Anolis sagrei: one gene and its partners. The protein of the gene in region 1 interacts with the protein of each later gene in a biochemical or structural test. Links are inferred from orthologs where the notes say so. Each region holds a gene or a part of one and is shown on either strand. Other genes may lie near its edges. The genes, in order: SORT1, SORCS1 and BDNF.

What was found.
Region 2: the proteins of SORT1 (region 1) and SORCS1 form a complex in vitro, tested with the Homo sapiens proteins (2 studies listed by BioGRID and IntAct, with this or other methods). The link is inferred for Anolis sagrei from reciprocal best matches to the Homo sapiens genes SORT1 and SORCS1.
Region 3: the proteins of SORT1 (region 1) and BDNF form a complex in vitro, tested with the Homo sapiens proteins (2 studies listed by BioGRID and IntAct, with this or other methods). The link is inferred for Anolis sagrei from reciprocal best matches to the Homo sapiens genes SORT1 and BDNF.

The regions. Positions count from the first base shown.
Region 1 is NC_090024.1:184,773,585-184,783,808, reverse strand, and holds the start of SORT1 (sortilin), read right to left. Parts: upstream 5,358-10,224; 5' UTR 5,287-5,357; coding exon 5,083-5,286; intron 1-5,082.
Region 2 is NC_090023.1:210,962,491-210,972,787, reverse strand, and holds the start of SORCS1 (VPS10 domain-containing receptor SorCS1), read right to left. Parts: upstream 4,430-10,297; 5' UTR 3,844-4,429; coding exon 3,343-3,843; intron 1-3,342.
Region 3 is NC_090021.1:260,645,498-260,656,277, forward strand, and holds the start of BDNF (brain-derived neurotrophic factor), read left to right. Parts: upstream 1-6,108; coding exon 6,109-6,183; intron 6,184-10,780. UniProt on the Homo sapiens protein: Important signaling molecule that activates signaling cascades downstream of NTRK2. During development, promotes the survival and differentiation of selected neuronal populations of the peripheral and central nervous systems.

The DNA of each region.
Region 1 (10,224 bases):
TATAACTAAAGGACTCAAGTTTTTCTTTCAAGATTCCAAAGATTTTCGCAGCAGGCGATGATAGCTAAGAAGAATGAGGAAATGCATTTGACTCAACAATAACTGAAGCCATCTAGCCAAGGGTTGGTTTCCACCTGACAAGGCTGGTTGGCAAGTCATAGTGTTAGTAGGGGCAATGCTCTCCACATGAAGGATTGATAGTAAAAGGGCATGTTTTACTATCAATTTCAGGCAATTTCTGACAATAGCAGTTTGATATGTAAGTAGGAGATTAACAGTCTCTGTGGTTCTGCTCCTTGTTAATTAGGAGAACAGTGAAATCTATTTATGACACCAACATTCTGCTTAGAGCAGTGGTTCACAAACTTTGGTTGTCCAGATGTTCTCGACTTCAACTCCCAGATATCCCAGTGAGCTTGGGCCAACAGTTGGGAGTTCTGGGAGATGAAGTTTGGACAGCCAAAGGGTGGGAACTATTGACTTAATCTGCCACAGCTAATTACTATTAATTGTATTAATTGAATTTATGTGTGGTGTAGTGGTTTGGCCATTGGACAGAAGATGTATCTACACTGCAGCATTGATGCAGTTTAGACATCACTTTAACTGCCAGGGCTCAATGTTATGGCATCATGGGACTTGTAGTTTTACAAGATCTTTAGCCTTCTCTCTCCTAGAACACATCAAACTCAGGGTCCTACAGCATTGAGCCATGGCAATTAAACAGTGTGTCAAACTACATTAATTCTACAGGGTAAATGCACTTTAAGACACTGGGGACCAGGGTTTCAATCCCCACTCAGCCATGGGAACCCACTGGCTGACCCTGAGCATGTCACACACTCTCAGCCTCAAGGTCGCCAAATAACCTGGAAGCACACAACAAGAACAGCAACATTCAGGAAGCAACATTATGAACACCACTTGCAATTCAAAAGTGTTTATTATGCCATCCCTAAATCAATTTTCAGCAGCTCTATAGAAATATAGCACTCTAAAATTGTAGATCACTTGCATGCTGGGTGGATTCAGGTGAACTCCCCTGCCTTGTCACTAAATGCTGACAATCAAGCGAAACTAGTCTGAAGGTATTTCCTATAGAATGGCCTTCACAATCCATGCTCACTGGACAAGACATGTTTTGCCAACATGTCCAACAAACACTGGCTGTAAAACACAATGGGAGTTGAACACTCAGAAAAGCTAGGTAACCTGAGCAACCAAAATTTAGATTTGTGCACACCTATCCTGTAGCAGCTGGCTTCCTCACTTGCCAGTCACATCCAACGAATTCCAGAGTCTCGCTACTTTAGGATAAGCCATTCACATGAAAGCCAATAGTGCCCATCGGCTTTTAACACAAAACACAGGCTAATGAAGACAGTGGTAAGCTCAAAACCAGTTCATATCCCTCTAAGTGCCAGTAATCCTCAGAATGGATAAAGAAAATCTTTTCAGGGTGAACTAGATGTCACACACTGAGATCTTTTGCATTTTTAAATGCTTCTAACCAGCTCTGAGGGTGCATATACACTGCAGAAGCAATACAATTTCACATCACTTTAACTGCCTTGGTTCAATGTTATGGAATCCTGGGAGTTGTTAGGTGAGTTTCTTTGGCAGACAAAGACGAAGACATTGTAAAACTAGAGCTCCTAGGATTCCATAATACTGAGTCATGGCAGTTAAGGTGTTTTTGTTTGTTTGTTTGTTTGTATTTTGTCGTGTCAGGAGCAAGTCGCTTCTGATGTGAGAGAATTGGCCGTCTGCAAGGACGTTGCCCAGGGGACACCTGGATGATTTGATGTCTTTATCATCCTTGTGGGAGGCTTCTCTCATGTCCCCGCATGAGGAGCTGGAGCTGATAGAGGGAGCTCATCCGCCTCTCCCCGGATTCAAACCTGCGACCTGTCGGTCTTCAGTCCTGCCGGCACAGGGGTTTAACCCACTGCGCCACCGGGGGCTCCTCAGTTAAGGTGGTGTCAATCTGCATTACTTGTACAGTGTTGGTGCACCCTATGGCTGAAAAGCTAACTAGGTTGGAGAACTCTGCCATTCCCTCAATTTAAATGCACATTCCTGTTGGCTTCCTAGGAAGAATAGCACTCAAGTGCCAAAGAGTGTCAGTCTGTCTTGACTTAGCTCCAAAGTCATTATATTCCCTGGCTCTGAAGGTGTGGCTCTTCCCCATTCTTTCCTCACAAGTACGTCAGGCTGTCCACTCAAAAGCGTACATGCTTATTTGTGTCGCATATTACCAATGTTTAATTCTTGCAGTGAGCGCCACTTGGGTTCAAACCTTATCTGAGCAATGCAAGTCACCTGGCCTAGGAAACCTGTCAGCTGATTCAAGAGGAATAGGCACTGAATATCTTCTTTTTTTGTGCCAGGAGCAACTTGAGAAACTGCAAGTTTCTTATGGCATGAGAGAATTGGCCACCTGCAAGGACATTGCCCAGGGGATGCTCGGATGTTTTACCATCCTGTGGGAGGCTTCTCTCATGTCCCCACATGAGAAGCAGGAGCTGACAGACGGTAGCTCACCCTGCTCCCCGGATTCGAACTGCAGACCTTTCGGTCAGCAGTCCTGCCGGCACAAGGGTTTAACCCATTGTGCCTGGATGTTCTACCATCCTGTGGGAGCCTTCTCTCATGTCCCCCATGAGAAGCTGGAGCTGACAAATGGGAGCTCACCTCGCTCCTTGGATTCGAACCGCAGACCTGTCAATCAGCAGTTCTGCCAGCACAAGGGTTTAACCCATTGCACCACAGGGAGCTCCTACCGAATGTCTAATGTGTATCTTTTGTTGTATTTTGTGTTCCTTAAGGAAGCTTCTGGGACTGAGAGTGGATGATTTACCCAGAATCACCCCAGAAGATTTCCATGAACAAGTGGGGATTCTAATCCAGATCTCTAGAATTGTAGGGTGTATCCACACTGTCTAATTAATGCGGTTTAACACTACTAAAAACCGATTTTAATGCCATGGCTCAATACAGCTTGAAGCCACTTAAACTGCCGTGGAATTGTGGGAGTTTGTACTTTGGTGAGACATCAACCCTCTTTGCCAGTGAAGACTCAAGCTGTCGTAAAACTACAACTCCCATCATTTGATAGCACTGAGCCATGTCAGTTGAAATGGTTTCAGATTGTATCCATTCAACACTGCAGGTGCACCCATAGACGATTGCTGAAACTCCTATGCCATACTTGAAGTGACAGAGAGATTATTAAGAGGCATTCTGCACATGCTCAGAGACAGCATCTTCCTTGTCACTCTCAAGCTGAATTGAATGTGCATCTATATCAGTTATGGGCAAACTTGGGCCTTCTGGGTGTTTTGGACTTCAACTCCCATCATTCCTAATAACCTCAGGCCTGTTCCTTTTCCCCCTCAGCCGCTTAAGGAAGGGACCTGAGGTTGTTAGGAATGATGGGAGTTGAAGTCCAAAACACCCAGAGGGCCCAAGTTTGCCTATAACTGATCTACACTGTTGAATTAATGCAGTTTGTCACCACATTGAACTGATACAACTCAATCCTAGGATGTATAGTTCATATATATTTATATACAATAATATTATAATGTAGTACAATAATATAATAATCTATATATAAAAAATGCTCTGTGCATAATGAGTTCCTTAAAAACAAAAGAACCAATGGACGAAATCACACCAAATTTGGCAACAAAACATCTCACAACACAAGAAATGGCCATCACTCAAAAAGTATGAATTTGTCATTTGGGAGTTGTAGTTGCTGGGATTTATAGTTCACCTACAATCAAAGAGCATTCTGAACTCCATCAACGAGGGAATTGAACCAAACTTGGCACCAGAACTCCCATGACCAACAGACAACACTAGAAGGGTTTGGTGGGCATTGACCTTGAGTTTGGGAGTTGTTGTTCACCTACATCCAGAGAGCACTGTGAACTCAAACAATGATCGATCTGGACCAAACTTGGCATGAGCACTCAATACGCCCAAATATGAACACAGGTGGAGTTTGGGGGAAGTAGACCTTGACATTTGGGAGTTGTAGTCACTGGGATTCACAGTTCACCTACAATCAGAGCATTCTGAACCCCACGAACGACAGAATCGGGGCAAACTTCCCACACAGAACCCCATGACCAACAGAAAATACTTAAGGCCATCCAATCCAACTCCCTTCATGAGGGCAAGAAAATATAATCAAAGTCGTCCTGACAAAGAGCCATCCAGACATAGATATAGATAGATTGATATGATTCACACACAGAGCGAGATATAGTGTTATAGATTTGAAAGGGACCCCTAAAGAAGGACAATTCTATGTCGCATGTTCCAGAGTAGGCAAACCAGACACTCTCCACATCAACACCGACATAGAAACAACAAGGAATACTGTTTACCCTCAAGCATAAAGGAATTACATATATTAGAAACCATTACTTTATTTTCCAGATCACCAGACTGGGCCACAGCAACGCGTGGCAGGGGACGGCTAGCATATTATAATATAGTTGATAATATTATAATGTAATACAATATAATACTAATAATAATACAATATAATAATTATATATTTCATATTACATGTCATATTACTAATAATATTACAGTATACTGGTATAGTACAATATGGGAATGCATGTTACTAATATGGTGCTATGTAAATAATATAATATATTGTATTTACATATAACTTGTAAGCCGCTCTGAGTCCCCTTTGGGGTGAGGTGGACGGCATATAAATGTCGTAAATAAATAAATAAATATAGAGACCGCGAAGGAAGCTCAAGACCTTGTGAAACTACAATTCCCAGGCTGCCATAACTTTGAGCCATGGCATTTAAAGCGGTATCAAAGCAAACCCTGGGATTTGTGGTTTGTGGCCTCTCTGGCAGAGAAGACCCAAGACCCTGTGAATAGTAATTCCTTAGATTTCATAGCCTTGAGGCAGGGCAGCTGCAGCGGTGTCGAACCGCGTTAATTCTTAAGTGTAGACGCCCCTTTGAAGGACACCACAGAACGGAAGGCACCGAAGTCTCATGCTCTTCAGGCCCGTCTCCCCCACCCTTGCCTCCCGCTCACCTTGTGGGTGTTGTTGCTCAGCGCCTCCAAGGAGAAGCCTCCGTCCCGCGGGCCGCATTCCGCCTCAGGCCGGCCCTCCTGGGCCCCCCGCCGGGCCCGCAGCCTCCCCTCCCCGAACCGGAGCTCCCGTCCGCCAAGCAGCGCCGGCGCCCCCGCCAAGAGCAGCAGCAAGACCCCGACCCGCGCCAAACTCGCCCGCTCCATCTCCGCCGCCGCCGCTCACAACAACAATCGCTAGGAAACTCTCTCCTCAAGCTTCAGGGGCGGGCCCGTCCCGCCCACCCGCGCCCTCATTGGCCCAAGCCGACCAGGTATGTCAACGTCACTGGCTGCCGGAAACGCCAATCTCACCCACCTTCGATCAACAACCTGCCTCTCTTGGTAGCTTCTCCCCCATTCGTCCAACGCTCCCGGCTTCTTTTTTCTCATTGGGTTAACGCCTTGTCCGTTTCCGCACTGCAGTCGTTGATTGGCTCCCCGCGGCAAGAGCCTCCCCCCGTCAGATTCTCTAGCTGGGCAGCATCACCCCACTTTGAAGAGCACCTTGCCCATTGGCTAATTGCCTACCAGCGTTGTCCCTTTGCTGATCCTCGGAGTAATCCTAAAACATCCTCGAGGCCGTGCCCTGATTGGCTGCAGTGCAAGGACACGAAGTCCACGAGAGGCTAGAGGAGAACCTACACCGTACATCTAATGCAGTTTGACATCACCTTAACTGCCATGGCTCAATGAGATGGACTCTTAGGGGTTATACTTTTACAAGATCTTGAACCATGTCTGCCATAGCATTAAGCCATAGCAGTTGAAGTGGTGTCAAACTGCATTAATTCTACAGTGTAGATGCACCTCTGAAGATGGATTGAAGTCTAGACACACAATTCATGTGTTTGACATACACATAGCCAGATGATTGTATTATTTGTGTGCTTCATATACACATACGGAGCCCCCAGTGGCACAATGGGTTAAACCCATGTGTAGGCAGTATTGCTGACCGAAAGATCGGCGGTTTGAATCCAGGGAAGAGGGTGAGCTCCAGTCTGTCAGCTCCTGCTTCTCATGCAGGGACATGAGAGAAGCCTCCCATAGGATGGTATAAACATTTGGGTGTCACCTGGGCAGCGTCCTTGCTGACAGCCAATTCTCACACACCAGAAGCAACTTGCAGGTTCTCAAGTCGCTCCTGACACAAAAGAAAAATGTACACATAGCCTGATGATTGTTTTATACAGTATTATTTTGTGCATGGACATTTTTTTGTGTATATTGAACCATCACTATCTCAGCCATCCTTGTAGACCATTTTAGGTTTGGGAGCTATTTGCAGTTTCAGACAAGGAATACTCAGGTTGTATTCTGAATGTTAGACTTGTCAATATACACTGGCAAAGGAAAAATGATTTTGAGAAGAAATTGATACACAGCAAAGCTATCAGTCAAATCTCTGAACCTTTCTCTTCAGTTGAATCAGCTTGCTGTAGGGACACCCTAAGGGTTTCACAAGGTTAACAATTGTTCCCTTTATATCAACTGCACAACTGATTATATTAAACAGGGTCTCAGCACAATTGTGATAAATCAAATGATCATTTTCTGCCACATTTCCTACAAAATTGTGAAAATTCTTGGCTCACTTCCCACTTCACCATCCCAATCTGCAAAGTAAGTTGGAATGTATGTGCGCCTGGGGTTAATGCAGTTTAACCCCACATTTAACTTCCATGGCTGCTCTGAGTCTCCTATAAGACAGCAAAGATGGATAATTTTATTGAATCATCAGGAGCTGCAACTTACAAGGTCTTTAACCTACTCTATCCAAGAGTGTTAATGCCTCACCAAACAACAAATCCCAGGATTCCATAGTATTGTGCCACAACAGTCAAAATAATGTCAAATTGCATTAATTGTTTAATAAGATGCACCCTCAGGAAATTTCATGGTTGTGAAAGGATCTCAGCCTGTATCAGTCCAAATTCCAGTGTGTATAACACAGTCTCTCTGATATAGTTACTTAGGTAACTTATCTTTATTCAGGATTGTAGGAAATATTTTTCTTGAGCCAACCACTAGTTCAGCCCTGCACCTTAATTTTTACAAATAAAATAGCAGACAGTCAATAATCAATCCTATTGAAGAACATGTCCAGTTTGATCCTCATCTATTCCATGAATAGTAAAAAGGGGTTTTGTTTTACAAATAAGGGCATGCTGCCATGTTGGAATATTGCCATCTGTCAGAAAGAGGAAAGGAAGCCCCTATATACACATACATACATACATACATACATACATATTTATGCCATTGTGGAAGGGTTTTTGGCTTGGATGGTGGAAAATTAAAAAGGCCAAGAACTGAGCAATTTGAACTGGCCATTTAAAAATAATAATAAAGAATGCACACAAATGGAAATCTACAGGCAATGCAACCAGTTGAGTAAACTGGCAGTGGTTTTATGGGTGTCTCAATGTTAGGTGCAACACTAATGGAAGCACTGAAGTTCAAACAGGAAACTGAACCAAAAGGTTGCAACATGAAACTGTTGGGGATGGGGAAAAGGAAACATAATGGCATGCAACACAAATTAGATGTTGAAATAATGTATATACACTGCAGTGACATTGACAAAAATTATCTACTGAAGATAGATCATTATTAGAAAATAGCCCAAGAAACTGCTGAAAGCTTCCTCAACCTGGGACCCTCCTATTTTGTTGAATGTTTTTTTCCCGTGTCAGGAGCGACTTGAGAAACTGCAAGTCGCTTCTGGTGTGAGAATTGGCCGCCTGCAAGGACGCTGCCCAGGTAACGCTTGGATATTTTGATGTTTTACTATCCTTGTAGGAGGCTTCTCTCATGTCCCCACATGGAGAGCTGGAGCCGACAGAGGGAGCTCATCCGTGCTGTCCCCAGATTCGAACCTCCGACCTGTCAGTTTTCAGTCCTGCTGGCACAAGGGTTTAACCCATTGTGCCACCGGAAGCTTCTTTTTGTTGAATTAGACTTCTATTACCAAATTAATATAATCCCAAACCAAAGTCCTGTTCAAGAGACAGAAGTAGCCCCACTATTATAGTACTATATTCCTCGATGTATTTTAACCATATTAGATAATCTTCTAGCTTGACAAAGTAGGATATAGATAAAATATTTTTAATAGAAGAAAGGTTTGTTGTTTTTGAAAAAAGAATTCTAAATTGTTCCTGAAAACAGTATTACCAGAATAAACTGAAACAAGCTTCCCAAAAGAAAGAAAACAACTTGCCATAATCTCTGGCAATCTTTGCAAACATTCTAGAAGGGACAACACGGCTCCTTCCGAAATTAGCTGAGGAACAGCTTGATCTCTGGGAAACTGCCCCATAAGCAATAAAAATCCTGTGGGCCACTGAGTGTAATCTTTATCAGGACCAAGTGTTTAAGTTGGCTGGGGAAACCAACAGGCAACTAAGCAAGATCACCACTTTGATTACCAGTTTCTTAGCTTTTATATTTATAAAGTCTATAATTATGTGATTAAAACAAAAAGGCTGGCTAAGATTACTCTGGAATAATAACATCCTTCCAAAGAGCCAGCTTTTAGGAAGCTGCTATTTTTCAAAATACCACCATTTTGAAACTTTGTGGGTTATTCAGGATATTCAAGAAATTTGCTGGTTTCTAGCTGCAGCTAATGCAAAATCCAGACATTAATCTTAAAACATAATTTGAACTTGTAATTATTTTGTGCAGGTTATCCACATAACAATTATCAACAGACCAACTGTATTTAAATCTCCATTAGGAAACAGCAGCTGGCAAGTTTGAAATGATAACCACCATTCCCTAGTGATTATTGCCAATAAATACAGGGTGGGACAGCTCTTACTAGAACAAATAAGAAAATAAAACATTAATACATATCCGATTTGGTATACATTTTTCCCCTGAGATGTTTACATAACATCAGCTATGACCACTATATATATACAGGGTGTTCCAGAAATGTATACACCCTTTATCAACTAATTGTAGCAATTATTTGAAGGCTAAGTAAATACACTTATATTGAAGAATAAATGTTATAAAGATTTAACCAGGATTACATAACCCATCTTAAATTATTATTTTATGTAGAGTTCATATTGTCTCTGCTTGCATTGTTGAAGCATGGAGTTGCAAACTTCATTTAAAAGTTTAACTTTGTGATTTCACAATAATTTTCTAGGGTAGGGAGAAACCAAAAACAATCCTTGAATTATAAATTGTTTTGGCTTTGCACATTTTTGGGATTAGATACAGAAAACCCTCAAGGAAGTTTGTGGCCTGTTTGTATTACAACACATACTAAGAGCCAGAGTGGTATCGTTGACTGAGTATTGGATTAGGACAATGGGAAACAGGGTTCAAATATTTGATCTGCCATAGAAATTCACTGGGTGATGTTGACAGGTCATACTCCCCAGCCTCAAAAGGCAAGGGAAAAGCTCTGAATATTTTCAGCCACAAAACCCCTGTGATAGGTTAGCCTTAGGGTCACCATGACTCAGAAATGACTTGAAGGCAAACAATAGCATGCTGATGCAGAACCTGTACAAACAAAGGCAGCATACCAGTTCATGTCTAATTCAGTAACAGGAATATGTACCCTATAACTCAGTGGTTCTTAAGGTGTGGGCGGCAGACCACCAATGGGCCACGAGGACAAAAACCTGATCCGTGAGCCTCCTTCCTCATTATTTATTTTTCTCCCACTCTTCTTGCTCCGCCTGCTACTCCTTCCCTGTCGCTGACCATGGAAACTGGAGCTGATGTGGTTTATCCAAAGCAATTTTCTGAATCAGCCCCCCAAACGAAATCTAAAGTTGACCAAAACCTGTTTCATAACCCTTTTGGCACTAATGCTGGAGTGTGGTCCCTGGTCAAAAAAAGGTTGGGAACCACTGCTATAACTGATTCAGAAAAATCAGTACCAAAGAAAAATATGTACTATCTTATGGAGGATGGGCATCATACAACACTCCAGAGGTTGTTAGGACTGCAATTTCTGTCATTCCAGCCATCACAGCCAATTGCGTGGAATGAGTTACAGTACACTATGTGGAAGACCTCATGATGTCTTGTTGCAGACATATGTCATTTCCTCAAAATAAAAGATGCACAATA
Region 2 (10,297 bases), on another chromosome or scaffold:
AAAGAAAACAGATAAAATGACCCAAAGACTTGCAAGAGCATGTTGTTGTTGTTTTGATTGCTTACTTGAGTTGATTTAAAAGTTCCTGAAAAGTCTATAAATTACAGTCTAGTCAATGAAGTCTGGCTCCTGGAGAAATGCTGACATGAACACAGAATGCGTGCAATGAGATTTATATTCACATATTTTTAAAAAGGAAGGGATAATGGTCAGATCATTCCATTCATTTCCCCCCTGCCAATTAAAAACCCACTAGAGGCATAGCTAAAAGTAGCAGCACCATGGACATGAGGGAGAATGATACTTTAAATGTGCTATTGTGAAGAACTGACTGCTTCATTTAAAAAAATCCTTTTTGTTGTTGTTGTTCCCTCTTATATTCCTTTGGCTCACTTTCCCTGTTCACTAAGAAGCAGCTCCCAGGGATCTGCATTATTCAGAGTCTCAGTCTGTATTGTCCTGATTCTCTAAAAACTGAAGTCCAGTTTATACCAACACTGCTGTGAAAGAAAGTGGCTCAGTTTATCAGAATGAAATCTGCAGCAGAGTGTCATAAGAGACGTCGTGAAAGCAGAATTACCTTTGAAAAAATAGAAGACATTCAGGATGAAAAGGAGCCGGGTTACTGGAGATACAGATGAGAGAAACTGACTCATTTTAACACCACAGGGATAAACCCAAGAACAACAGGTGAACGGGCATCCTCTTCCCGCAAGTTTAGCTTCATTTTTATATAAACGGACACTTGAACTGCCTCAAGGGAACAAATGGTACATTGTGAACCAATCTTCGGTTGCAAACCTGAGCTTTTTAATGTGCTTGGGGAAAAGTGAAAAGAGTTAGGGACAAGCTTGAGGGAGATTGTACAAGTGGCGTCCCTTTGATCAAAACCGAATCTTCATTGCCTGCGACATGAACTATTAAATTAAAGCTAGGGGACCATAGACTACTGACAGAATACAAACTGAGATACACTTTTCTATTCCGGCGTCCCAGTTGGGGAAGCACAGCTTTATAAATTTTCCAAAACAATGTGCCATTTATACAATAAAAGAGGGAAATGTGGGGGGAAACAACTTGTTTGTGGGTGGAAAGAAAGGGCAAAACCAGGATGCATGCTATCAGAAGAGGCAGAAAATAGACATGCAGCAGATGAAGACAGGGCTCCCCAGTTGCCTCACACAGAGTTTATAGCACTCCTGTCCATGCTTTCCTGCTGCCACCATTCATCTTTATCACTTTGCCACACTCGTGCCACTTGTCACAACAAGGAGCATCTCAGGGCTGAAATAGCTGACCCTTTTCAGCTTTCAAACAACACACACACACCCTTCCACAGAAGTGAACACCTTTTTTCTTCCAGTCAGCTCAGAAAACCCTTTTCCATTCATTGCACACAGAGATTAGGGTTCATTCTTTTTAAAAAATCCAGGGCATGGATGTCTTCAAATGCACCTAGTAGCATGCCAAGTGGAGCAGGAAACTTTCTGCTCCAGAGAGGATGTCAACACAAGACACAGAAAATAGTTGATTTAAAATAGATGTACAGTAGACTCTCTGTTAACTGGAATTCAAGGAACTGGAACTCTCAAGCAATCGGCAAACCAGCAGAAATAATACTTTCAATAAAGACATAACAATTGCAACATTCACACTTGCCTCAAGCAAACAAGACTTCTTTCTCCCACCCTGGACATTCTACAGACATATAAACCTCACTTGCCTTGTTTCCAACAGACCTCACAACCTCTGAGGATGCCTGCCATAGATGTGGGTGAAACGTCAGGAGAAAATGCTTCTGAAACATGGCCATACAGCCCAGAAAACTCATAGCAACCCAGTAAAATAAAAACAATTTTAGCGAAAATGTTGCATTAATGTCAAGTGTGTCTGTATTTGTCTTAATTTTCTTAAAATATCAAGTCAATACAATGTTTATGACTGGCATATTTTTAATAGTAAATGCTCAAGCAGCCAGAACGACATTGACATGGCATCTACCAATCCCCATGGTGTCAATGAACTGTGGGTGCACCGTAGAATGAATCTGTTTCACATGACTTTTTAAACTGCCATGGCTCAATGCTAGGGAGTCATGAGTTGTAGTTTTACAAGGTGTTTAGGTACCTCTGCCAAACTACAAAACCTTGGATAGCTTAGCATTGAACCATGACAGTTAAAGTAGTGTCAAACTGCATTGATACTACAACCAAAGAGTGGACAAAACTCTGAATAGAACAGTGGCTTCCAACCTGTGGTCTGTGGACTACCAGTGGTCAGTAAGAAGTAAAATATGGTCCGTGGCCTCACCGTTACTACACCATTGGAACAAGAGCAACTGGTCTCTTGAAACCCTCTTATAGTGCCGAGGCTTATTAAATATGGTTTTCTGTGGGTGAGCAGATGGCAACTACTGGATGGCATATGTTCTGCATCAGAAACTAGAACTTATATGGTCTATCCACTGTCCTTTTCTGAATCAGCACCCCAAATAACCAAACCAAATCTAAAGTTGACCAAAAAGTAATTCGTAACCCTTTGGGTACTAATGTGGGAGAGGGTCACTGGTCAAAATGGTATCTGGTCAAAGTGGTATCTGGTCGAAGTGGTCCCTGGTCAAAGTGATATCTGGTCAAAGTGGTATCTGGTCAAAGTGGTCCCTGGTCAAAGTGGTATCTGGTCAAAGTGGTCCCTGGTCAAGTGGCCCTGGTCAAATTGGTCCCTGGTCAAAGTAGTCCCTAATCAGGTGTTCCCTGGTCAAAGTGCTCCTTAATGAAGTGGTCACTGGTCAAGTGGTCCCTAGTCAAAGTGGTATCAGGTCAAAGTGGTCCCTGGTCAAAGTGTACCCTAATCAAAGTGGTCCCTGGTCAAAGTGGTCCCTGGTCCAAGTGGTCCCTGGTCCAAGTAGTCCCTGATCAAAGTGATCCCTGCTCAAGTGGTAACTGGTCAAAGTGGTCCCTAGTCAAGTAGCCCTGGTCAGAGTAGTCCCTGTCCAAAAAAAGGTTAGGAACCACTAGAGTAGAGAGAAGGGGGCAGCAGAGGGGGGGATTCCAAGCGCATCCTTTGCTGCCTGGGTCTTTGGGATGAAGCAGCAGCAGCAGCAGGGACTGGAAGGCGGGGAGTGCCTCGACACTGTGGAATGAATGCAGCTTGGACACGACTTTCAATGCTGGGGCATCCTGGGATTTGTAGTCGAAGGAGCCCTCCTCTTTGGCGGAGAAGACCTTGTGACAAACTCCCGCGATTCCCTAGTCCGAAAGTGGTGTCGAAGCGCATTCATTCCAGGGTGTAGACGCAGCAGGAGCGAGGGGCGGGCCGGGGGCGCGGAGGGCAACTACTCACGCTGCTGTTGTGTCCGGACCAGTGGACCATGGCTTGGTTGTGGGCCGAGTCTCCGGTGAGGGCGAAGGTGGTGCTGGTCAGCTTGAGCTCCTCGGGTCGGAAGCGGGTGGCGGGCTCCGGGCGGCTCTCCGGCGGCTGGGCGTCTCGGGCTTTCCGGCTTTGCCGCCTCCGCCTCCGCGCCGCCTGATTGGGGAGCGGGAGGCCGAGCGGAGACGAGAGGGAGGCGGAAGCGGAGGTCCCGGGTCCGCGGGGGAGAGCAGAAAGAGGGTCCGGCTGCCCGCCTTCCAAGGAGAGAGGCTTCTTCCCCAAAGCGGCCAAGAAGAGCCGACCCGAGGCGCCCTCCTTGACCTCCTCTGGGTTCCTCGCCCTCAAGCGCAGCAATAATCCTGGCTGGAGCCGGTGTTGCCCTTGCCCTTGGCAAGCCTGGCAAGTGATCTCCGCCCCGATGAAGCCAAACGGGAGCATCAGCACCAGCCACGTCCAGCCCGCAACTTTTCCCATCGCCCTCGACGCCGTTGAAAGACTTGTGTATGTGTCAAAAAAGAGAAGAAAGACAGAGCAAGGCTATGGGAGAACAGCAGAGATAGATGTTTCTCTTGTGGACCCAACGGGGAGAGGCACGAGGCAGCGATAACTCCAAAGAAGTTTTTTTTCCCCCTCCCGAGAGCTTTCTTCGCTTCCTTTCGGATTTCTTTCCCCCCGTTTTTTCCCTCCAAAAGATCGGGCTTTTTGATGGGGAAAAGGGATGAAGAAAAGCCACAACCACACGAGGGAGGAGCTGGAGCAGCGCGAAAGAGAGAGAGAATGGAGAAAAAGAGAAAAAGGAGAGAGAGAGAGATGAGAGAGGATGCGCGCGCCAGCCAGCCCTGCTTGGCGGTTTCTGGGCGCTGCTTTTGGAGAAGTCCAAAAGAGAGAGAAAGGGAGAGAGAGGGAGGGAGAGTAGTCATAACCCGCCTCTTTCTCCCTCCTCGTTTCTCTCCCGCCCTCCCCAACCCGGTTTCCCTTTCGCCAATCGCTTCTCCTCCTCCTCTCTGGGATTTTCTCGTCGTTTGGGTGTTAGAGCGCCGACGCGGCGTCCCCTTCCTTCCTCCCTTCCTTCCCTCCTTTTTCCCTCGCTCCCTCCCTCCTTCTCTCCCCTCCCCTCCTCCTCCTCCATCTCGCCAACTTTCTCCTTCTCTCCATCTCCCATCAGGATCCGCCGGCCTCCGTCTCTTTGGGGTGCGTTTACCTCCCCAGCGCGACTCAGGACAGGTTTACAACCACATCTGTAAACCACATCTGGTTCCTCTAGGTTTGAGAAAAGCGGGTTGTATATCGCACTCGAAGTTTCATGCAGGGGAAAATAAAGATGGGGGATGGGAACCCGTTTGTCTGTATGTCTGTATTAACTTGTGTCTATAGCAGGCATTGGCCAACTTGTGCCGTCCAGGTGTTTTGGGCTTCAACTCCCACCATTCCTAACAGTCTCAAGTCCTTTCCTTTCCTATCTCAGCCGCTTAAAAATGTTAGAAGGTTGAGGGTGGCTAATCAAAAACCTTGGAGTCCCCGTGGACAACAATTTAAACATAAGCCAACAATGTGATGCAAACGCCAATGGGATTTTGGCCTGCATCAATAGGAGCATAGTGTCTAGATCTAGGGAAGTAATGCTACCCCTCTATTCTGCCTTGGTTAGACCACACCTGGAATACTGTGTCCAATTCTGGGCACCACAATTGAAGAGAGATATTGACAAGCTGGAATGTGTCCAGAGGAGGGCGTCTAAAATGATCAAGGGTCTGGTGAACAAGTCCTATGAGGAACAGCTTAAAGAGCTGGGCATGTTTAGCCTGAAGAAGAGAAGACTGAGAGGAGACATGATAGCCATGTATAAATATGTGAGGGGAAGTCATAGGGAGGAGGGAGCAAGCTTGTTTTCTCCAGCCCTGGAGACTAGGATGCAGAACAATGGCTTCAAACTACAAGAAAGGAGATTCCACCTGAACATGAGGAAGAACTTCCTGACTGTGAGAGCTGTTCAGCAGTGGGACTCTCTGCCCCAGAGTGTGGTGGAGACTCCTTCTTTGGAAGCTTTTAAACAGAGGCTGGATAGCTATATGTCGGGGGTGCTTTGAATGCGATTTTCCTGCTTCTTGGTGGGGGGTTGGACTGGATGGCCCATGAAGTCTCTTCTAACTCTATGATTCTATGATTCTATATGCAAATTAGTAGGTGGAGATAGCTCATGCATGGGCCAACTTGGGCCCTCCAGGTGTTTTGGACTCCAACTCCCAACAGTAATAGCATGATAGCTGGGCCCGGAAGCTCCGAGCATTATAGAGATGCTGCATCGCTTCTTCGGGAGCACTGTTTGTGCAAGAGAGACTTAGCTAATGTAAGCCAGGCCGGAGACAGATAGGAATGTAAGAGTTTTTTAATGATGAAACCCTTACCCTAACCCTGAAGCATACCATAAGCCTAAGCCTAACCCCTTACCCAAATCCTTACCGTAACCCAAACCCTAAACCTTACCCTAACCCTTATGCTAACCCAAACCCTAAATCTTGCCCTAACCCTTACCCTAAACATCCCCTTCGTCCTATCCTTCCTTCCATCTCCAAGCTCTCACTCCGCCCCCTCTCTTCCCTTATTCACAGCCATCTTTGTGGCATCTCCCTAACACTTGAGCTTCTGGACCCAGCTATCATACTATAACTCTCCAACCATTTCTAACAGCCTCAGGCCCCTTCCTTTTCATGCTTAGCCGCTTAAGAATGTTAGAAGTTTGAGGCTGGCCAATCAGAATACTTATGCTAATTAGTAGGTTGAGATAGCTCATGCATGGGTCAGTTTGGGCTTCAACTCCCACTGATAATAGTATGAGAGCTGGGTCCGGAAGCTCCGAGCATTATGGAGATGCCGCATCACTTCTTCAGGAGAGCTGTTTGCGGCTGAGGGGGAAAAGGACGGGGCTGAAGCTGTTGGGAATGGTGGGAGTTGAAGTCCTAAACACCTGGAAGACCCAAGTTTGCCCATCTCAATGGCACCAGTTTAAAATTGGAAAGAGACACAAACTGTGTTTTTCAACAAGCAAATGCATTGCACACATCATTGTCTGATCAGTGGAGCTTTCTGCTTTCTCTGCCAGGCACCCGAGCTCTCTCTCTCTGCAAGTCTCCCCAATGGGAATTCCCTTCTAGTTCTCCCCAAGTTGGGTTGCTGTGAGTTTACGGGCTATATGGCCATGTTCTAGAAGCATTTTCTCCTGACATTTTGCCCGCATCTATGGTAGGCATCCTCAGAGGCTGTAAGGTCAGTTGGGAAATAGGCAATTGGGGTTTATATATCTGCAGAATGTACAGGGTGGGAGAAAGAACTCTTGTCTGCATGAGGCAAGTGTGAATGTTGCCTCCTTGGTTAGCATTTACAGCTTCAGAGCCTGGCTGGTTGCTGCCTGGGGGATTCTTTGTTGAGATGTATTTGCTGGCTCTGATCAATTCTTGTTTGGAATTCCCCTGATTTTTGAGTGTTGTTCTTTATTTACTGTCCTAATTTTAGAGTTTTTCGTAATACTAGTAGCCAGATTTTGTTCATTTTCAAGGTTTTTCCCTTTCTGTTGAAATTGTCCATGTGCTTGTGGTTTCTCTGTGTAGTCTTCCACGGTAGTTGTTAGAGTGGTCCATCATTTCTATGTTTTCAAATAATATGCTGTGTCCAGGTTGGTTCATCAGGTGCTCTGCCATGGCTGACTTCTCTGGTTGAATTAGTCTGCAGTGCCTTTCATGTTCATTGATTTGTGTTTGAGTAAGAAGCAATCAAGACCAGCTAATCACCTCCCAACAAAGGATTCCCCCAGGCAGGATGCAGTCAAGCCTTGAAGCTGCAAGTCTTTTCAATGCTAATCAAGGGGATCAGTTGCAGCATTCACACTTGCCTCAAGCAGAAAAGAGTTCTTTCTCCCACCCTGGACATTTCACAGATATATAAACCCCACTTGCCTTGTTTCCAACAAACTTCAGAACCTCTGAGGATGCCTGCCATTAATGTGGGCAAAATGTCAGGTTTGCAGTGAATACCAGAAAATTCAGAAGAGAATGAAAGAATGTAAGGATGCACACATAATCATCATTCAGACATTAGACTTGTCTGTGGAATTCGTATCTCCTTTTTCCTTTGTTTCTTTTAGTACTTTGGGAGCACATAATGGGAAAGCCCCTCCCAGTACAAAAATCAGCACAACACAAAAGTAAGCAGGAAAGGGTTTTGGTTCCTGGCTTGCTTTTTGGCATCACAGTTTAATCTTTTTTTTTTTATCAATCCGCCAGCAAACTAAAAGAAAACCATCATTCCCTGAAAACTACTCTCCTCTTCCAGGAGGTCATTGTTCTTACTTACCTGGAAGTGGGAAGCCTCCTTAAAATGCCTTGGAAAGTGTGTGGTTGACTGGTGCGGTATAGCCCAGGAGATAGAGTGATCATGCTTGCAGCTAAGCGCCTCCCTGAGCTTGCCTCCTTGACTTGGAAAGAGAGTGTGTCTGTGGAGTGCAGCCCCAGAAAGCATTCATGCCTGTTAGTGCCTACAGCCAAGTGCCTCTTCTAGAGTAAGAAAAAGAACTTGCCTCCTTGCCTTGGAAAGAGAGAGTGTGAAGGCTCAGAAAGCTTGTGCTGGGCAATGCCTGCAGTTGAGGGCCTCCTATAGAGTAGAAACACCAGGTAAGAAAAAGCGTCCTTAAAGCATGTGCTGGGAAAGGAGCCTAAATAGGAAGCCCCCCCCCCTCCCCCCCAATACTGGTCCAATAAAAAAAGGATTTTTTGGGACTCCAGAGCAAAAACAGATATCTGCCCTTTTGATTTTGGGAGGCTACCAAAAATGGATCAGGACCCTACTGAAAGCCGGAACATGAAATGGGTCAAGGTTTACCCTGAATGCACAACCCTACTAGGCATCGGCCAGGAATCATACCTGATTTTGAAGAAAAGGGCAAGTGAAATCTCCCTCTGTCTTGAATAGCAAAAGTAACTGATGAGCAGAGGAAAAGATCTCACACTTTGGAGCACTATAGACTAGGCTTGGGCCCGGATCAGTTCGATTGAAAGTGATTTATAATATTCGGCGGTTCATTTTGTGTAATCCCACAAAAACAGGCAAGAGATAACCGAAAAGCTGGGCAAAATGGATCAAGAGAGCCGGATTTATTGGGTACTGGAGAGGATGTAGATAAGTCTGCATTATACCTGAGGCAGGGGGTCTGCTGCGGGGCTCACGGAGAAGATCATGCAGTGTCTTTTCTCTTTCCTCACCAGTGGAAAAGTTCCCTAGCCTCCTTCTCCAGAGAGAGCCCTGCTTGGAACCCGCTTTCCCAGCAGCACTTGCATGGGGTGGCATTGAAAAGTCTCTGATTTCCTTTGGAAGCATGTTGAGAGTTGAAGTTTTTCTTTCTTTCTGTTTCTCAGCCAATAAAAGGCCTGGTTGTGTCCATAATCTGATTGGCTGAAAATGGACACAACCAGCGACTACAATTCCCAGAACCGTCTCTTGTGGTTTGTTTTATTTTAAAAATGTTATGGTGAAAACTTAAAATAATTCTAAAAATCAGTAGATCGGTGAATTGTTCTGAAACTTAGCATGCCTGCAGTTGTAAATGGGGTCTAAAACTAAGGTAGTTTTCATGCAGATAGGACTTAAAATGACAGAGAATTGAGCCTTTAAAGTTTCCCATTGTAGCCAATGGGTCAAATATTTCCTGAATGAAAATGGCAACACTCCTCCCAATTCGAGTAACTTCCTGGTAAATAGAATGAGGGGCTAGCCAAAAATGGACCCCAAAATGGCATACCTTTTGGGCAAATTGCACAAGTCTACCATAAACCACTGCAATTGAGAGCATTTTAAGGTCTTACAAGACTCTACAAGTTTAAGTATGTTAGACTATGACTCTGGAGACCAGAGTTCAGTTCCCTGTTCAGCAAATTCATTGGTGACCAATGCCAAATCACACACTCCCGGCCCCAGAAGATGCTGTGATAGATTCATTTTAGGGTCATTATAAGGCAAAAATGACTTGGAGGCACACAATAACAAAATAAACATATAAATAAGACCAAAAAAGTATCCTTGTGTCCAGGGTCATAGCTAGAAAAAAAAAATTGGGGTGGGGGTGGGAGAGTTAAGACTTTTTAAAAAAGCAATCAAGTCATTCCATAGCACAAAACTATTTAAATAGTATGGTTCAATCTATATTTTTATATATAATTGATTAAATCAATTTTCTATTTTAGTTACAAAGTTTCAAGTCTTAAAATAAATGAAAATGACAGTTAATTGGTAATATATAGTTACAAAAGAATACTAAAACTCTGTTGGAAACACTTGAAAACTGTGTCCATACACTTTTGACAGAATTCAGGCTTCATTGATAAATTTCAGTGGACACTCCAGAGTGCAAGTCCAGAGTGCAAGTCCAGTTTTTCTTGCTCCATTGTGCTTCTTATGTATGTTTTCAAATGTTTAAGAGTTGAAAACAACCTATATATAGGCCTAGCAATGGGAACCCTACTATCTGGGAAAGGGGAGGGGGGGTTGAACCTCTAACCCCCCTCCCCTGGATGTAGCCCGGCTTGCATCCATGAAGATAATATACATACAGTGCAAGAAGCATTAAGAGAGCATGACAATGGACAGAGGACTGTGTGAGCAATTACTAAGGTGTGTACACATGAAAGTTATGATCATGTTTTATCTGGCAGTCAACCTCGTGGAATTTAGAGGAGTTAAATCGAAAGAAAAGTGCACAGGGTCAACTGAATAGCTCCAACTCTATGCAATATTTTGCAGAAACACATCTCACAAAACTATTTACTTTTGCTATTTGCTTTTACTTAAATAACTACAGCCAGGTTTGCACAGCAAGAGCACTAAAGATTGCAATCTAACTTTATATTGAACTGTCAGTGGGCTGTTTTCTCTCATTCACTGG
Region 3 (10,780 bases), on another chromosome or scaffold:
GGTAGGAGCTTTCTTTAGCAGAATGAATGGGAGGATCCATCAAAAACTTCAATCCTGCCTGGTTTAAAATATTTTAGAAGGGATTTCTCTATAAATATGTAAGCAAGCTCTTGAAATGGTGTGTAGGTGTACATTTTTAGGTGAACACAATAGCTGACCGGTAAAGAGGAGAGTATCAACCTGGTATGCTGGTTCAGGTGCTGCAGAGACAGGGGTCCAAATGCCAATGCCACCATCAGGTTTATTGGATGACTTGGGCCAGCCCCTCACTCTCTCTGTCTAATCCACCTCAGAGACAAAACTGAGGAGGAGGGCCACATATACGTCCCTCTGAACATTTGGAAAGAAAACCAAGATATACAGTAATATATCTCAAGAGGTTTCCATTCATAAGATCACTAAATCAAATGCCACCCTTGGACATTACTATCAATGTCCAAGTTTACTTCTGGTTTTGGAAAATAGCTTTTTAAAGAGAAAAAGTATTAGACATTACATAGAGAGGGATTACATTCTCTATAAACTTTCTTGTCCTTCCTTCTGAAAGTTTCCAGAAGACAAAAAGTCACCCTTGGAAGGGTGAGCAAGGAATGGTTTGGGAAGTCTGGAGAATGATGGGTTGCAAGGAGAACATGGCAGGAGATACATCCAGCCCCAGATCTCCCCCAACTCCCCCACTGTCTTTGGGGTTTGGGTTCTATGATTTCCAAGTATTAGTCCTTCCAGATGTTTTGGATCTCAAATTCCAAGCCATTTGTCCATGCTGACTGGGACTTCTGGAAACTGAAGTCCAACAGCCTCTCAAAGGCCAAAGCTTCAGTACCACCACACCTATAGATGGCTTTTCCCTCATGAATTCACTAAGCATATTCTAATCTCAATAACTGGCTTGAGCATCAACTTCAGGAGGCTGCAACCCACTTCCACAGAGGCACTTAAAGATGGCACCTGCTCTCCTCTCCCTCCTGCTTTGACATGGAAACTTGCCTGGTGACAATCCAAATGGCCTTTTCCTTCTATGGGCGTCCACTCTCACCTTGGGTTTTGCAAGGTGGTTGTTGTTGAAAGTTTTCTACTTATTCCAATCTAACGACATCCCTAGGGAAATTGTCTTGAAATAAGATTTGCTGATTTCAGTGGGACTTACCTCCAACAATCTACAAGACCAACTGAAAACATGAGACATTTGATGTGGGCCTTCAATCTGATTCTGAGGTATGGAGCCCATATCATAGGCTTTCCTTAGCAAACCTTACTCCATAACAGTTTGCCACCTTCCTAAGACTGAGAGAAAGTGACTTGCCTAAGACCACCCAGTGGGTTTCTAAGGCTGAGCAGTCAGTTAAACCTTGTTCCCCTAGAGTCCTGGTCCAACATGTAAACGACCATACCAGGCTAAAGAGACAATATATTCAGGGGATTTTTCCTTCAAATCAACTCCAGTGTCCAGTTTTCAGGAGCATTTCCCCCTACCTGGAACTTAGTGCAAAACGTATTTCATGGGGCTGTCTTTGGTAAGGGATACTCTTAGACCAGTGGTTCTTAACCTGTGGGTCACAGACCACAAGTGGGCCGCGAAGCTGAAAATCTGGTCTGCAAGCCTCCTTCCTCTTTATTATATTTTATTTTATTCCGCTCCTTTTGCACCGCCTGCCACTCCTCCCCTGTTGCTGACCATGGCATAGGTTCTGAATCAGAAACTAGAGCTGATGTGGTCTATCCAATACTATTTTCTGAATCAGGACCCCAAACCGAATGTAAAGTTGACAAAAACTGATTTGTAACCCTTTTGGTACTAATGTTGGAGAGTAGTCCCTGGTCAAGCAGTCCCTGGTCAAAGTGGCCCCTGGTCAAGTGGTCCCTGGTCAAAAAAAAGTTGGGAACCACTGTCTTAGTCTTAGATTATATACAGCCTACAGCGTGGGATATTCATTGCCAGTGTCCCATCCAAGTATTAAGCAGGACTGGCCCTGCTTGGGTTCCAAGCTCAGGCATGATCTGTTACCTTTAAGGCTGGCCCCGAAGTCCTTTTCGCCCTCTTCTCCCCCTCCACACACACACACACACACACTTCCTCAAGATCCTAAGGGTGACAGCGCTTGGAGGATGGCTTCATGGGCTCTGAACTGCTTGTGAGTGGAGAGGGTCCCTTCCTGGGACCCCGGCTCAAGGCTTTCCTCTGGCTTGTCCCCTCGAGAGCTGACCCCTCCCCCCCCCTCTCTCCCGCTCAAGCCCTTGCCAAGAGAGCCTTTGAATCTGGCTCCAACTCTGCAAATCCCCCGAGTCCCAAGCCTTCTCCTCTCTCTTTGGGCTGGCGCCGCCAATCCGTCGAGGGGAAGAGCCGGAGATGTGGGGGAAGCCAAACCCGCGTCGTTGTGGGCGTCCCAACTGGCTTTCCCTCCCTGGTGCCAGGTTGGCTCCAGAAGCATGTCTTTACTTCCATCCCATGAAGGGAGCCGCCCACCCACAACTTCGGGCAAACTTTTCCTCCAGTGGGAGCCTCTGGACTCTTCTTCCAGTCTCTTACAAAAGACTAAAACGAATCTCCGGTGCGCCTCCTCCTTCCAGTACTGCTTCTGTTCTGCTATTGCAGGTGCAATGCATGTCTCTTTGGAAAAGTCTGCCCCTGACTCATCCCGTCGGTGGGGCAGTCAAACTCGCCCACCCACTCGCCCACCCACTTTCCCAGCCTTTCCCCTTCTCGCACTGCTATTCTGCAAGCCGGTGGCGGAATGGTCCCCCTGGGAGGAGAGCGGTCACCCGAGGAGGAAAGGGCTCAGGGTCGAAGCCCAGGGAAACCCAGGCAGGTCGGGGAAACGAGCACCAGCCCGGGGCTCCTGAGCCTGCGCGGAGCTGGAGCTCTCCAAGGTGCTCCAAAGCGGGCCTCACAGCGGCGAGGGAAGGCAGCGAGGCCTCGGCCAGGGAGGACGGGACCCCGGGTTGGGGGAAGCGGGTGGCTGGAGAGAGGCCGAGGGACTGTGGAGCGCAGCCCCAAGCGGGGTGGAAGGAAGCGAGTGTCTCTGGGCAGATAGGAAACTCTGGCGCCGGTTGGAGGCCCGAATGGTGACGACACACCCCGCAGGGCAGGGAGGCGCATGGTGGGAGTTTGTTGTCCCGCTGCCGAAGTTGGGAGCTAGCTTCGAACTGCATTAAGCAGCCGGTGCAGATGGGGTTGGAGATGGCGCGCTGTGTTCCCTGGAGAGCAAGTCTAACGGAACACCTCAGGGGTCCCTTCCAAGGGAGAAACATAAAAGGGGGGGGGGGGAATAAGGAGGCTCGCTTCTCAGCCTTTAAGAGGCTGCCTTGGGAGTCAGGAGCATCACTGGACCCCATAGTCTCCCCTTCCACTCACACAGACGCACACCCAAGGCACGTTTCACCACGCCAGAGAGAGAGAGAGAGAGATCCCCACCAGCCCAGGTGTGCCAACCTACCTGCGCCCGGGGCCCCTCCAGCCTGGAGACGCTAAACTTAGGCGCCCAGAGAGTGAGGCTGGAAGGGAGCGGGAAGGGCCCTTTATAGGCTCTCCCTGCCCCGCCGAGAGACGCAAGTAGGCGCGCCAGCAGCCCACACCCAGACTCCCACTGCCCCTCCGTGAATCAGCCCTGCCTGGGCTTCGGGCAGGTGAATGTAAACACACACACACAGAGAGAGAGAGAGAGAGAGAGAGCCCGGTGGAGGCAGCACCTGTCCCTGGGCCAGTGCGCCAGGGGCCTCCATTCCCCATCTGCCTCGCCTGGCCGCCCGGCTGGCGCTGCTCTCCTTTTGAGCCCTGCCACCTGCGGAGCTGCGCCTGGGACGCAACAAGTCCCCGGAGTGTCTGGAGGGAGAGGGAGAGGGAGAGGGAGGCGAGAGAGAAGGGAAGAGAGAGTGAATGAGAGATGGGGGGTGAGGGTGTGGGACCAGGAGAGGGGCTGCTTCCTGAGTCCTTTCCCGGCCCTGCCACGAAAGACTCATGTCAAGGCTTCCGGGGACAGAACGAGAGGCACACAAAGTGAGCTGGAGAAGTTTGTAGCCCACTCCTCACGTGCGGCTCCCGAGAGGGTAGAGAGAGAAAGGGAGAGAGGAAAGGGCATACATCCCCCCTTCTCCCCCCCCCCCTCTTGTTCTGGTTGGGTCTCGTGGCTCAGCCTTTCCCCCCCTTCATTAAGATCACGTAAGAAGAAGCTACCCAAAGGGGAGAAACGTGCCTGTGAGCTCAGGCGTTTGCGTAAATCGAGGGCCGGCGGCGGTGTGTGGGGCGCGTGTGCCCGTGGGGCGTGTGTGAGTGTGTGTGATACAGGGAGCGAGTGTGTGTCTATATGTGTGAGTGAGTGCGAAGGCAAGCTCTCCCCGCCAGCCAGCCAGCCAGCCAGCCAGCTAGCCAGCAGCCTCCTGCCCGCCGCTGGCTGCCTTCCTTCCTTCCTCCCTGCCACCCTGCCTTCCTTCCTTCCTTCCTTCCTGCCTTGCCTGCCTTGCCTTGCCTTGCCTTGCCTGGCTTTGCCTTCCTGTAAGTCACCCAGGTGGCGGTGTGTGGCGAGTTTGGCGGCTCGGCGGATATTGCACAGGGTGGTTATTAGATTCATAAGTCACACCAAGTGGTGGGCGATCCACGGAGCCGAGCGGAGAGAGAACTTCTCACATGATGACTTCAAACGAGACACATTACCTCCCAGCATCTGGAGGAGAGACGGGATTGTAAAGGCGCTTCGGGGCTCCAGGACGGCCGGGGAAAAAAACAAAAAAAAACAATCAAAAAAGAACCCGAAACCATGGTGAGTGAGTGGGACTCCGGAGGGGAGGCTTTGGTGCGGGGAGGGGGAGGGAGGGAGGGAGGGGGGAGCGCCCCGGGGCGTGCTTCCCCCCAATTTGTGCTTGGAAAGAAAGAGACAGGGAGAGCTTCTCTCCAAAGCGGGAAGAAAGAAGGCTGTTGCTTGACAACAATTTACTTCGCCGCTCCTTCCCTTCCCCTCCGAAACCTTCCCCTGCCTCTCCTCCCCGCCCCCGCCCCCCCCCCGCGCCAAAAAAGAAGCCCGGCTTTCTGGAGCGCCTCCGTTTGGCCACGCAGAGCCCCAGCAAGCCTCGGGCGTCCCGGGAAGGAGGGCGGCGCGGTGCGTCTGCCCAACTTGAAGGAAGGGCCGAGCTTTGCGGGGATTTCGAGCTACGCAGAAGAAACTTGGAGCCCGGGTTTCCTTCCTCCGAAAGGAGCTGCTGCTTGGCTCTTGTTTTACTTTGTGGGACCCCCCTCCCCCTTTCTCCCAAAACACACACCGCTTGGCTTTGGATGGAGGGCATGGGGGGATGTGTTGGGAAAGAGGGTCAGAGCGATGGGGCGAGAAAGGAAGCGAAAGGGGGTATTCCTCTCCTCTGCCCCCACCCCCTCCCCAAATCCCCAGGTCCGTCCAACATGTGATCTTCTATTTACAGCCCGTGCAAAAGCCGGGCTCACGTGACTCAGGAAAGAGGGGAGGGGGCTTCAGGCCGCACCAAGTGACTTCATGGAAATGTCAACGCCAGACCTTCCCCCTCTTCTCCCCTCCTCCTCCCGCTTTTCCCAAGGAGAAAAGAAAGAGGGGGGCGGGTGGGGGCTGGGGAAGGAGTGGGGCTGGCCTCGGAGGGAGGCGATGGGGTTTGTCAGCCCAGGTAATCCGGAGTGAATCCCTCAGCGCTTAAAAGGCGGCCAGCCTGGACCTCCCTCCTCACACTGTGATAAGATCTGGCGAGGAGGGAAGCGACGGAGAGAGAGAGAGAGAAGAAGAAGAAGAAGGGAGAGGGAGAGGAAGGGAGAGGGAGAGCTCCCTCCTTGCTTCAGAGTTGCTCCTACGTCCCGGTTGTGGCGGACCTGGGCAGGAACCGCCTCCAACCCGGAGCGGCGGCGGCGGAGAGCGGGACAGACCCGCGCCAGAGCCGAGTTTGCGGGGGCGCCTGGGCACCGACGGCGCGGGCCACTCTGGGCGATGCGAGCGCCTCTGCCCGGCGCCATCTAGCCAGTGGCGGGGGGCTCGCGGGGACCGAGGTAAGGCTCCCCCTCCCTCTCCCACGCGGGGCTTTTCCCCTCCCCCTTCTCCTTCCTCTCCCTCCCTCCCTCCCTCCCCTCCTTCCCTGCCCCAGTCTCTGGTTGTTATTATTATGGGGGGACCGTGGGCTGCTCTCGGCCGGGTCTGTGTCCTCTCTCTGGCGGAGCAGAGGAAAAGAGGAGCCAAGGTAGGCGCCAGCGAGGCCCCTCACTCCCTTCCCTCTCCGGAGTTGGCCAGAACTCCGTCCAGCCCCCAGTGAATTGGTTGTGTTTGTGTGCTTTTGGGGGGAAAGGAGGGAGGAAGCGCGCAGTTCCTGGAGGGATGAATGAATGAATGAATGAATGAATGGAGAGAGGGAGGGAGGGATCACTCACTACATCACCAGCGAGCGATAAGCAGAGAGAGGCATCCCAGCAACGGAGAATACAGTCTATTTGGGGCAGGGGAGCTGCCTGCACGCACTTGGAGGGGGAAAACTCCCTTTTTGCTCCAAGCCTTGGCCTTCGCCTGCGTAGCCTCCCTCCCACCGGGGCCCCCTTTTCTTTTCTTTTCTTTTCTTTTCTTTCCTTTCCTTTCCTTTCCTTTCCTTTCCTTTCCTTTCCTTTCCTTTCCTTTCCTTTCCTTTCCTTTCCTTAGACTTTCCTCTGCGGGGAAACGGGAGGCTGGGGAAAGCTCTCTCCGACGGGAACTCCATCCTGCGCTCATTCAGTCCTCCGGCTCCTCCCCTCCCTCGTTCCCTCTTGCGATGCTCCTTCCTACGTAGACACGGAGCTAAGAATATTGAGTCGCTGGGCTAAAAATAAGCCGGGGAAAGTCAGCAGTTTGGAGCCGTAGGGAGAGGCAGAAAGAGAGGGAGAGAGCTCCGCTTAGTGGGCGCTGCTGCTACGGGGCGGAGAGGCAGGCGGGCGGGCAGGCGCATGGCTTTCTCCTCCCCAAAAGGACGCCTTCCCTTCCCCATCAGCAGCCAGAGCCGGGGGTGAAGCCTGGCCCCGGGTCTGGGCGCCCATCTGGACAGAGGGGCCCCGAGGAGAGGAGGCGGAGGGAGGATCTGGACCGGGGAGCGAACCAGAGACGCAGTCGAGCCTCTTCAAGCAGGGAGGGAGGAAGGGAGGGAGGCAGGGAGGGAAGGAAGGAGGGAGGGAGGAGGCTTCTCTCTTTCTCCCTCCTGTCGCCAATGGACCTCCTTCGCCCAAATGAGAGAAAGAGAGAAGGGCAGGAGGTGTCACAAACCCAGGAGGCTTGTGACGGGGCTGGAGAGGGACTGGAAAGAAATGGGGAGAGCCCCCTGTCGCCCCCAGGTCCAGAGAGGCGCCGGCAGGGACCTCCTCGCTCTTTCTTGCCCCAGAGGGAGACAGAAAGAGGGAAAGAGAGGAAGGAAGAGCAAGCGCTGCCTCTGGAAGGGAGAAAGAAAGAAAGAAAGAAAGAGAGGCCAGTGGCCAAGCCGGTGCTTTGTTTCTAGTCGCCGTGGCCCGGCTTAGGCGAGCGGATAAGCTGGGTGGCTTGACTGCTCCTTCCTTCCTTATCCACATTCTTCTTCCTTCCATCCGAGCATCCTTCCATACTCCCTCTCCTTCCTTCCTTCCTTCCTTCCTTCCTTCCTTCCTTCCTTCCTTCCTTCCTTCCTTCCTCCCCCTCCCTCCCTCCCTCCCTCCTTCCCTCCTTCCTTCCTTCCTTCCTTCCTTCCTTCCTTCCTCCTTCGCCTGCCTGCCTTGCCCGGCTTGCAGTCCCTCCTCCTCCTCCTCCTCCTCCCGCCTCGCTGCCTTGGCCGTTCATTGGGCCTCCTCCTCCTCCGCTGCCGCGATTGCGCTCACGTAGCCGCGCAGGGCAGGAAGACGACGAAGGCGACGACGGAGGGAGAATCCCTAGCGAGCACGAGCAAGCGCGCGGGGCGGGTTTGGAGGAAGGAAGGAAGGAAGCAAGGAAGGAAGGCAGGAAGGCGGGAGCCGTCGAGGCAGCCGGGGATTTCGCAGCAGGGTGTGGTTCGCCCAGGAGGGAGGCTGGCTCCAGCGGGACCCCAGGCCGAGGAGCGCACCGTAGACCCGGCAAGCCCCCCAATCCCCGCCCCTGCGCCCTGGCTTTCGCGCGCTCTTTTCTTGGGCTCCCAGCCAGGAGGGGCCTCCTTCGGAAGCGAGGGCGCAGGGGCGGGAGGAGGAGCCCCGGGCCCGGCTTCGGGGAGGAGGAGGAGGAGGAGGAGGAGGAGGAAGGCACGGGAAAAGGGCTGTTGGAGCGGGCGCCACTCCCCAGACCGTGCTGCGAAGGAAGGGATTCCGAGGTGGCGGCTCCCCACTCGCTGCCTTTCAATGCGGAGCGGGGAAAGGCCCGGTGGAAAACGGGGGGGGGGGGGGGGGGGGGGCAGAAGAGGCATTAAAGGCGCCGCGCGGGTTTTTCTCGCCCTCTTGTTTTTCTTCCTTCCTCTCTGCTGCGGGCCAGGAAAGGAAGAAAAGGAAATGTTGGGTTGTTGTACGTTTTTTGGCCTTAATGACCATGTTCTAGAGGCATTCTCTCCTGACGTTTCGCCTGTATCTATGGCAAGCATCCTCAGAGGTTGTGAGGTCTTCTTCTCCTGGCCGGCAGCAGAGAGGAGGGAAAGAATGCAAAAGGGCCTCACAACTTCCGAGGAAGCTTGCCATAGATGCAGGCGAAACGTCAGGAGAGAATGCCTCTAGAACACGGCCATATAGCCCGAAAAAACCTACAACAACCCAGTGATTCCAGCCATGAAAGCCTTCGACAATACAAAGGAAATGTTTTGTGTTCCTCACCATTGCTGTGCTTGGAGGGAGGGAGGGCAAGGGGCCATCAAGGCTCTTGGTCTTGCAAAGGCCGGCCTCTGGGGCGAAGGGTCCCTTGAAAGCCCTCAGGCGGCATCCCTTGGGTGGGCTTCGCAACGGAGCCCATGGCCCAAGTGAGATCGTGTCGTATTCAGAGCCTGAAACCGTGGAGTTTCTTCCTAGTTGTGCTTCTGCGGGAAATGTCCTCAGGGGCAAGTCAGAGAAGGGTTTCATAACCCAAATGGTACATCATAGGTATGGGCAAACTTGGGCCCTCGCTCCAGGTGTTTTGGACTTCAACTCCCACCATTCCTAACAGCCTCAGCCCCCTTCCTTTTCCCCCTCAGCCACTTAAGCGAAGGAAGGGAAGAAAAGGAAGGGGCCTGAGGCTGTGAGGAATGGTGGGAGTTGAAGTCCAAAACACCTGGAGCGAGGGCCCAAGTTTGCCCATGCCAGCGATATAGTTTCCCCTCCATCACCCTAAATCCCTGTTGGTGAAGCCAGGCTAAATGCGGAGCAAGTGCAGACCTACCTGTTGAGCTTCCATCCTTTTTGGTCCCGAATTCTCCTGCATATCTGTCTGTTGGGCTGTAATTTGGCAAATGTGAAGGTAGAGTTGCAGACATATGCCCCAGTCATTTGGCTTTTGGGTTAGGCGTTTCCGAACTTAGTTCCTGAACTTGTAGGTCCTGGGGAATCTAGGAGAAAAGCCCTCTACCTCCCCCCACCCACCCAAATCCTTGTCATTAATTTTTAGACGTCTGTATAAAGGGGTTATAATGCATGAAGTACTTTGCACATGCGCAGGGACTCTTGCCTGTTGATGCCTTTGCATGATGCAGCACAAGTCTTAAAACCCAAGGGCTGCTGAACCAAAAGTCTTGGGCTGGAAGCCTTTACCAGGAGAACTAAAGGGACAAGGTGTAAACTCAGACCAGGGTACTTTCAAACCCAGCTTATTTTCCCAGGTGAAGCTCCCACACAGGTACAACTATCAATACTGGGTGTATGCACAACTTAAACCAGTTTCAGGTTAGTTCCACAATTTGATACAACCTGACTTTTCAAAATATATGTAATTCTTAAATCAAAACCCTTAAATGTAATATTGTTTAGCGCCAGGATAAGTCTTAATCTGACCTTGCCTAAAATTGCCTAAAATTGCCACATATAGAGTCATAGAGTTGGAAGAGACCCAGTCCAACCCCTGCCATGCAGGGACATATGACCAAAACACCCCTGGCAGCTTTTGATCCAGTGAACAATTCCATAAATGTGTGTGTAGGATAAATATATGCTAATCCCATTATATCCATACACATGTTTAGAGACTGGGTATTATCACCCCATCCTTCCAATCCCCTATCTTCTCTTTTTTGATAGCCATATATAAATATATGAAGGCATGGCATGTAGAATATGGAGAAAGCTTGCTATCTGTTGTTGAATGGGTTGAAATGACAAACAAGTGATTCCACTGAATCATTAGGAGGAACTTTTGGACTGAAAGAGCTGTTCAGTGGTGCTGCGAACTCTCTTCTGCTTTGGTCAGACCTCACCTGGGATCCTGAGTCAAGTCCTGGACATTACAGTTCAGGAGGGATATTAACAAGGTGAAAAAAGTGCCCGGAGGAAGGCCATCAGGATGATCAAGGGTCTAGAAACCAAACTCTGAGGAATGGTGTAGAAAGACAAGAATGTTTAGTTCGGAGAAGCATAGACAGAGAGTGACATAAAGACTCCCTTCATGTGAAAAATGGGGCAAAATTGTTTTCTGCTGCTCCAGAAACTAGAATGGATATTAAAATTTTAAAAAGAGATTCTTCCTAAATGCCAGAAGTAACTTTTTAATGTAAAGCATATTTAGCAGTGGAAAAAACAGCCTGTGGTAAGGTGGTGGTGGTGGAGAACTCTCCTTTAAACAGAGCTTGGAGGGGCATCCTCCCTTTCCGCAAGGATTGGGATTGGATGAGCCTTGTAGTTCCTTCTAGTTCTGTGATTCTAAAAAGCAAA